Caenorhabditis elegans: one gene and its partner. The protein of the gene in region 1 purifies or fractionates together with the protein of each later gene. This does not show direct contact. Each region holds a gene or a part of one and is shown on either strand. Other genes may lie near its edges. The genes, in order: ncbp-1 and prp-38.

Region 1 (3,926 bases):
CAGTCCAAATGTTGCTTCTCAATTTCTCATGGAGTAGATAAAAAAGTAACGTTTTTTTGAAGAAGTTAGGCCCAATGTTGGCAAAACGCACTAAAATTTCAAGATTTTGGGTACAGAAATGAGAAACATCACTTTTTCAACCCTCTTTTGTACACTGTATATGGTTGCTTCGCCGATTGATTTCAAGGAGCCGCATTCGTTTAAAAAGGTCTCGCCACGCGCGCTGCATGTATGAACAAAGATTTCTGCACGCGCCCTTTGAAGTTACTGTAGGAAATTTTGATCGATTTTTTCAACTTTTTTTTGCAAAACATTTAATACTATAGTCACTTGTGTTGTAGAAGACAATTACTCATATGTCTACAGTAATCTTACAGACTCGCACACAAAATAACTGTTTTATGAAGGGAGCGCGGTGAGACCCAAGGGACAATTAAATCAAATAATATCATTGCTGAACTCTTCAGACTCACTCTTGATCATCATCATCAATTGCATCTTGTCTTCGAAGTATTGCTCTATTTCGTTTTTCTGCATCTCCACGAGCACTGAAACTTCTTGTCAGATTTCCACGTGTCACTGAAGTGGATGGACTTTGACTTGGTCGAATTATCACTGAACGGACACGTTTGAAGACTCCTTGACGGTGGAAAAACTCTGGAAACTCGGATAATTTTCTATAAAATATTCAAACTGTAAATGTTCTCACCTGAACTCATTCTTAAATATATCTATCTCAGTTTCAGTAAAATCTAGAAGTATCTGTTCGTATAGTCCGCCAGACAATCGACCATGTCACGGCTGGCGTCTTTTGTTTTTCTTTGAAATTTTCAGAATCATTTTTTCTATTGCTCTGCTTCTTTGTGTTCATATTCGTGTATATGTCGTCTGTGTGTGTGTGAATTTTTATTTACAGTCATTATTTTTGTGAATGGGAACAAAGTGGAGAACGGGGTGAAAAATGGAGAGGGAAGAAGTGGGTGAAGAGACAATTTACAGACAAAAGTTCTTTTGAAAAAGAGTCGAAAAATTACATGTAAATTGGGAAAGAACGTGTAAAAGTAGATAATTGATACATTATTTGCTCGTGCGGCTGACGACCCAATCCTTTTGACACAGTGGGCATCTGTTGTTCTGTCGAATCCACTGAGTCATGCAACAATGATGGAATGAATGATTACAGTCTCCCCACACTACGTAGCATTCAGCACTTGGTTCAGATTGACAACGAAGACACTCTTCTGAAAAAAGTTGTTCATAATTATTGGATTAAATCTCATTCTGGTAGTGTGGATCTCCTGCTCCCTATGCATATTTTTAAAAAATGTTGATTTTAAATATATATTTGCAAGCTAAAAAAAAAGGACAATATATTTCAATTTCGACATAGTTGTATATTACCTATTCTGTTCACGAAAATTTGCGTGTTTTTTACTTTCAAAGCAAGCACTTTTGCTTGTTCCTGAACTTTTAAATACAAATATATCTTTCAAAAGAATACTTTTTGAACATATCACTAAAAAAATTTAGCTGCATATGAGCACTTCGAACTAGTAAAAAGTCGATCTGAACTTTTTCAGTGCATTTTTCCACTTTTTTCAAGACCTCTAGAAATGCTCCAAAATATTTTTTTTCGTAAGTTTGTAATGATATTTAGGGGTAGAGAAATATTATGGAAGATTTCTGTAGAATTGTGTTTTTTTAGAGAAAAAACTGAAAATTTTTTTAAACCAAAAACCATCATAAAATTATCTGCGACATTTTTATCTCACAAAATATCAAAAAAATAAGTTTTGTTATATTTTTGAAGCGATTCAACTTTTTAACCACTGAATTAAATAAAATTTACCCATTAAATGTACTCTGCAGATTGCACATGTGTCACATTCAACATCCCAGGCCCAAACAGCTAACGCATTCCATTTTTTGAGCACAAAAGGACGACTTTCAGACGGATTCGCGGTTTTTTGCTTTCTGAAAGTAATTTATATTTCGAGAATTTAATTGAAATGGAAATAATTGACTTACTGAGCACTCGTACTTCCTTCTTGTGAATCTGCATTGCTTGAATTGTTCATTTTTTTTGCAATAATTTATTGATTTATTGAAATTATTGGCAATTTAAGACCGGTTTTGTTTTTTGCTGCATAAACAGAAGTGGCGTTGAGAAGAAGAGGCGCAGAGATGTCAGACAGTAACCTACGACACTGCGCTGTTCCACACGCGCGCCTTGTTTAGAATATATTCAATTTCGAATTTTCCATCGGATTTTTTTGCGATTTCTCAAGCAAAACCAGTGAGATTTAATCAGATTTTGTTCGAAAAACAACGAAAATGTCGCGGAGAAGGCAATTCGATGGTAAGCTACTTCCTGCATTGTTTAAATCTTGTTTAAAAAAATTAAATGATTTTCAGATGAGGATGAAGTTCAAATGAAAAGACGTCGCGGGGCTCCACTAATCGAAGATGTAGAAAAAAAACTGCAGGGAGTCATCGGAAAAGTTGGAGAGGTAAGACATAAAACATCAATTTCCAACCAAAATATGTTGTTATAGAATACTGGCTCATCGATCGAATGCAATTTGGATAAACTCACAGCTTTTTTACATGATGATCTCGAAAAATATCGGGCTTCAATTATTGATATTATTGCTGGATGTGCCATCTATCTCCCAAATCGTGTTACTGTATACACAACTCTAGTTGGTCTGTTGAATTCAAAGAATTTCAATTTCGGAGGAGACGTCGTAGAAAAATTAATTTCTGAGCAGCAAGATCTTCTTTCAAAACAAAAATATCAAGAGGCTCAAAATCTTGCTATTTTCCTTTGTGATCTTGGAAATTCTGGAGTGCTCACAGCTCAATCAATTGGAGAATATTTGGAGAGCTTCATTGCAGCTGCTTTTGAGGAAAACATGCCTCAAGTTCGTAATGATTATTATATCCAAACAGTTCTTCGTTGTCTTCCATGGATTGGTAAAGAATTGACTGAAAAAGCTCCCGAGCAAATGGAGAATATTGGAGAAGCGATTGGAAAGTATCTCGAGTTGAGAAATAAAAATCACGTTGCGGTAAGATTAATATTAAACTTGTTAATAACTAAAAATAATATATTTTTAGCTTCTCCAAGTTTGGCGGGAAGGCTCGACAGATCAAAAACAAGAAGATTATCTCGAAAGTTTATCAGCTCAGATTGAAGCTCTTCGTAATGCGGATTGGGTTGAAAATCACATTCCTCGACATTATTCTGGTTTTGAAACCACCCTTCAAGATGCCCTCCAACATAATTTGCCAAGTTTTCAATCTCCAGAACATACCTCGGATATGATTTATCCATATCCACTGGTCGTTTTCCGTCTGTTTCAAGACGCGGATTGTTCCGCCTTTTCTGTAAGTGCAAATTGAAACTGTCTAAACTGTTCGTTCATTTGTCTTTTTAAGCAAGGAAATATCTTTTTTATTTACTGAAAATTATTTCAAAGGGTCTATTATAATTTTCAGAGTAAACCCCTTCCCGGTGATAGTTCAATAGATCGTTTCCTCTTCGAAGGTGAAATCGCTTGGATCATTGAAAAAAATCAATTTAATAGAAAAGCATGTGCTCGTGAACTTCTCGCTTTCGCAGAAGAGAATCCATCTGTTCCTATTGGATTCCTTATTTTCGAAACTATTTTCGGTCAAATGCTCCGTCTACCACATGCCCCATATCCAGCAATATTTCATTGTAAGTCAACATTCTTCATTAAAAGTCCATTAAACCTCGATTTAGCGGGGGTTTAATGTAGAATCCAAATAACTAAATTATATTTTCTTTCAGGCTCTCTCGTTCTCGAACTGCTAAAGCTTAAACCAGACGACTATCCACAGATTCTTGTTCAAACTGTTGAGTGTATCTATCGGCGCGCAGATTCAATGCAACCAGTTTG
Region 2 (3,926 bases), on another chromosome or scaffold:
TTTTATGTATATAGGCTTTTAGAACATGGTTTTTTCTATCCATTTATCTATTTTTAATGTTTAATAATCTTCATTATTAAGGATTTTAGCCACAGTCTTCGTTCTCATCTCATTTTCCATCGCCCCGCCCCCTGTGGAGACGCAGAGACATTTTCTAGCGCGCTCTATTGCGAAACATTGTCCTCACAGTGTGCAGTGCTGAATGCTTATTAGAAAAAATAATCTCAAATGAGTAATGTGTGCCGCGGTCTTGCAAACATTTGCGCGGGGGTATTGCAATTGTGTCCCGAAACCACGCCCACTGGTTATTCGAAAAGCGGTGGTTTTGAAAATAAAGGTTGTATCATTGTTTTTGTTTCTCCAGTTTCCTTTAAAAGCAGAATAATTTATTCACTCTGTACTTTTCCTATTTTTCTTCCAAAAAGATAGTCTTGAGCCACTCTAATAGTCTTGTTTTAAAGAAACATGTCTGCAAGCGTTTCCGATCCGTATGAACAAATGCCAGCTGCTCCAACAGATGATGATCTCGGTTTGTTGGTAGTTAAAATAATTAAATAATAAATTCTTAATTCAGAGGACAAACCGGAAGCCGACAAAAAAGCATTACTCAATCAAGTTTTTAAATCGTTGAAAAGGGCACAGGATTTATTTTATCACGATTATGCACAGCCACCTCCAATGCCAGAAGAGAAGTAAGTTCCACATTTTCAAATTGTTTTCCTTGATAACTTAAAAAAGCTTAAATCTACAAAAATAATTTCAGTGACAGTCTAATTCGGTCAATGAAAAGAAAGCACGAGTACGGTAATGTTATTAAAAAAGTAGAAGAAATGAAAGTGAGACGAGAAAATGAAATGCTCGCTCTCCCAACATCGCAACCGATGCACGGTACAGGATCAGTGATCGCATCAGCTGGAACCCCATTGGCTATCACAGATGGATCAGGAAAACTTGTTAATCAGCAACAAGGATCAGCAAAAAGTGGAACACTGCTTCCTTTGGTTCCACTTGGTAACAGTTCAAAAGGAGAAGACAATACAACTCGATCGCTTCTTCCTTCAAAGGCGCCTATGATGATGAAACCAAAATGGCACGCTCCATGGAAATTGTATCGTGTAGCTTCGGGACATACAGGATGGGTCAGAGCAGTTGATGTTGAACCGGGAAATCAATGGTTTGCTTCTGGCGGAGCGGACCGTATTATCAAGATTTGGGACTTAGCGTCTGGACAGTTGAAGTTATCATTGACTGGTCACATCAGTTCTGTAAGAGCTGTAAAAGTTTCACCAAGGCATCCTTTCTTGTTCAGTGGAGGAGAAGATAAACAGGTAAGATAATTTGTCTCTAATTAGTGATCTGAACTTCCAAAATGTGTTTTTAGGTTAAATGCTGGGATTTGGAATACAACAAAGTGATCCGTCATTATCATGGGCATTTAAGTGCCGTCCAAGCTCTTTCAGTACATCCATCTCTTGATGTTCTAGTCACCTGCGCTCGTGATTCTACAGCTAGAGTTTGGGATATGAGAACAAAAGCTCAAGTCCATTGTTTTGCTGGTCACACAAACACCGTCGCAGATGTTGTGTGTCAATCAGTTGATCCACAAGTAATAACTGCTTCTCATGATGCGACAGTTCGTCTATGGGATTTGGCCGCTGGACGTTCTATGTGCACATTAACTCATCACAAGAAATCAGTGAGAGCTCTGACAATTCATCCACGTCTCAACATGTTTGCTTCTGCTTCCCCAGATAACATCAAACAGTGGAAACTTCCCAAAGGAGAATTTATGCAGAATCTTTCTGGACATAATGCTATTATCAATACACTGTCTTCCAATGATGATGGTGTTGTTGTATCAGGCGCTGACAACGGATCGTTGTGCTTCTGGGATTGGAGATCTGGTTTCTGCTTCCAGAAAATTCAAACAAAGCCTCAACCAGGATCAATAGAATCTGAAGCTGGGATCTACGCTTCGTGCTTCGACAAGACAGGTCTCAGGCTTATTACCGCTGAAGCTGACAAGACAATCAAAATGTACAAGGAAGATGATGAAGCAGTTAGTTTTGGAAAAATATATTTTACATTAAAATTTTTTTTTCAGACAGAGGAAAGCCATCCAATTGTTTGGCGACCAGAAATTGTCAAAAAGAAGGCGTACTAAAATATTTTTTACCTGTGTTTCTATTTATCTGTTAACTTACACCTGAAAAATAAAAAATATATTCTCAACATTTCTCAGATGCAACAATACTATGACCGTACATAACGGTTTCGATATCTTTCCACCGTTAATACTTCTATTGTTTATAAATTAAAAATTCAGATGGCAAACCGCACAGAGAAAGCGGCGAAAACCGTCAAAGGTACAAATCCCCAGTTTCTCGTCGAAAAAATCATCCGGCAGCGTATTTATGACAGCATGTACTGGAAAGAGCACTGTTTTGCGCTCACAGGTAAGTTGTTCTTTGCTATTCACTAATTTAACATTATTTTTTTAGCTGAACTGGTCGTGGACAAGGGAATGGATCTTCGATACATCGGAGGTATCTACGCAGGAAACATCAAACCAACTCCTTTTTTGTGCCTCGCTCTCAAGATGCTACAAATTCAGCCGGACAAGGATATCGTTCTTGAATTCATTCAACAAGAGGAATTCAAGTATATCAGAGCTCTAGGAGCAATGTATCTTCGACTTACATTTGATTCAACCGAAATTTACAAGTATCTCGAACCATTATATAATGATTTTCGTAAATTAAGATATATGAATAAGATGGGTCGATTCGAAGCTATCTACATGGACGATTTCATCGACAATTTACTTCGTGAAGATCGCTATTGTGACATTCAACTTCCTCGTCTACAGAAGAGATGGGCTCTTGAAGAAGTAGACATGCTTCCGTCATATAAGTCACTTCTTGATGGTGATCTTGTTGCAATGAGTGATTCTGATTCTGAAGAGGAAGAAGTCACAAAGAAGGAGAAGCCACGTTTGACATCTAGAAGACGTAGTCGAAGCAGAGATCGCGAAAGAGATGTTGGTGATCGACGAGAAGTTCGTGAACGAGAAAAACTGAAAGAACGAAGAGAAAGAGGAGACGATGAGCCAGGGCCAAGCAGTAGTGGTAGTGGTAGACGTGATGATAGAGATGACAGAAGAAGAGATCGTGATAGAAGCCGGGATAGAGATCGTCGAGATAGAAGAGGTAATATTTTTAATCAAACATTCTATGGTTTTCTGATAAAAACTTCACGGAAATCTGAATAATCCCAGATTTTATTTTGGTTTTATAGATATAGTCAAGCATGTTCATTTAGATTAACCAGAAAAAATTATGTTGTCAATGTATGTTTTTAAAGGTACCATGTCATGAATAATTTATATTTGCAGATGATGATCGTCGTGATAAGAAAAAAGAATCTCGTCGAGGTGGTGCAGACAACGATGAAGAACGCGAAATCGCAGAAGCGAATGCACTCCGTGCCAAATTGGGATTGGCTCCACTCGAGCGATAAATCTGTTTTTCTCAATATTCGAGCCTCGTTCTAAGTATTAATTTTATTTATTTCATTCACATTTTTCGTCCAGAAAAGGATACATTCTCTTTTATTCCGACAATGAATCCTAATAATTGAACACATTTTTTTTTGCCAAGAAATTGTAACCCGCCATATTTTATATTTCTAAGCACCAAACACATCGACTTGTCACCCACTTTCCAAAAAAAAAGCGAAGAATTAAAACGTCATGTAAGGTGCACTTTTCTCTTTTGTCCGAAACTGCAAAGCAAGAAAAAATGAGGACCAATCGGAAGTGGGCAAAAGTTCACTTCTTCCCACCTTCTAAAAAAGCTCTTATTTACTTGCTCAAAATTTTCATTCAATGTCATTCGAAAAACTTCTGATGAATCTTCCCGGGCATA

Evidence for each region.
Region 2: the proteins of ncbp-1 (region 1) and prp-38 fractionate together in Caenorhabditis elegans (co-fractionation; one large-scale study listed by BioGRID). This does not show direct contact.

What each region holds. Positions count from the first base shown.
Region 1 is NC_003279.8:6,419,772-6,423,697, forward strand, and holds the start of ncbp-1 (Nuclear cap-binding protein subunit 1), read left to right. Parts: upstream 1-2,286; 5' UTR 2,287-2,334; coding exon 2,335-2,359; intron 2,360-2,415; coding exon 2,416-2,510; intron 2,511-2,555; coding exon 2,556-3,071; intron 3,072-3,120; coding exon 3,121-3,390; intron 3,391-3,501; coding exon 3,502-3,724; intron 3,725-3,817; coding exon 3,818-3,926. Other genes in the region: rbx-2 (RING-box protein 2), read right to left, coding at 1,078-1,241, 1,850-1,974, 2,029-2,078. UniProt on the Caenorhabditis elegans protein: Component of the cap-binding complex (CBC), which binds cotranscriptionally to the 5'-cap of pre-mRNAs and is involved in various processes such as pre-mRNA splicing and RNA-mediated gene silencing (RNAi).
Region 2 is NC_003283.11:10,804,435-10,808,360, reverse strand, and holds prp-38 (Pre-mRNA-splicing factor 38), read left to right. Parts: upstream 1-2,326; coding exon 2,327-2,456; intron 2,457-2,501; coding exon 2,502-3,209; intron 3,210-3,394; coding exon 3,395-3,519; 3' UTR 3,520-3,640; downstream 3,641-3,926. Other genes in the region: plrg-1 (Pleiotropic regulator 1), read left to right, coding at 466-529, 575-692, 764-1,328, 1,382-2,059, 2,105-2,164; secs-1 (O-phosphoseryl-tRNA(Sec) selenium transferase), read left to right, coding at 3,887-3,926.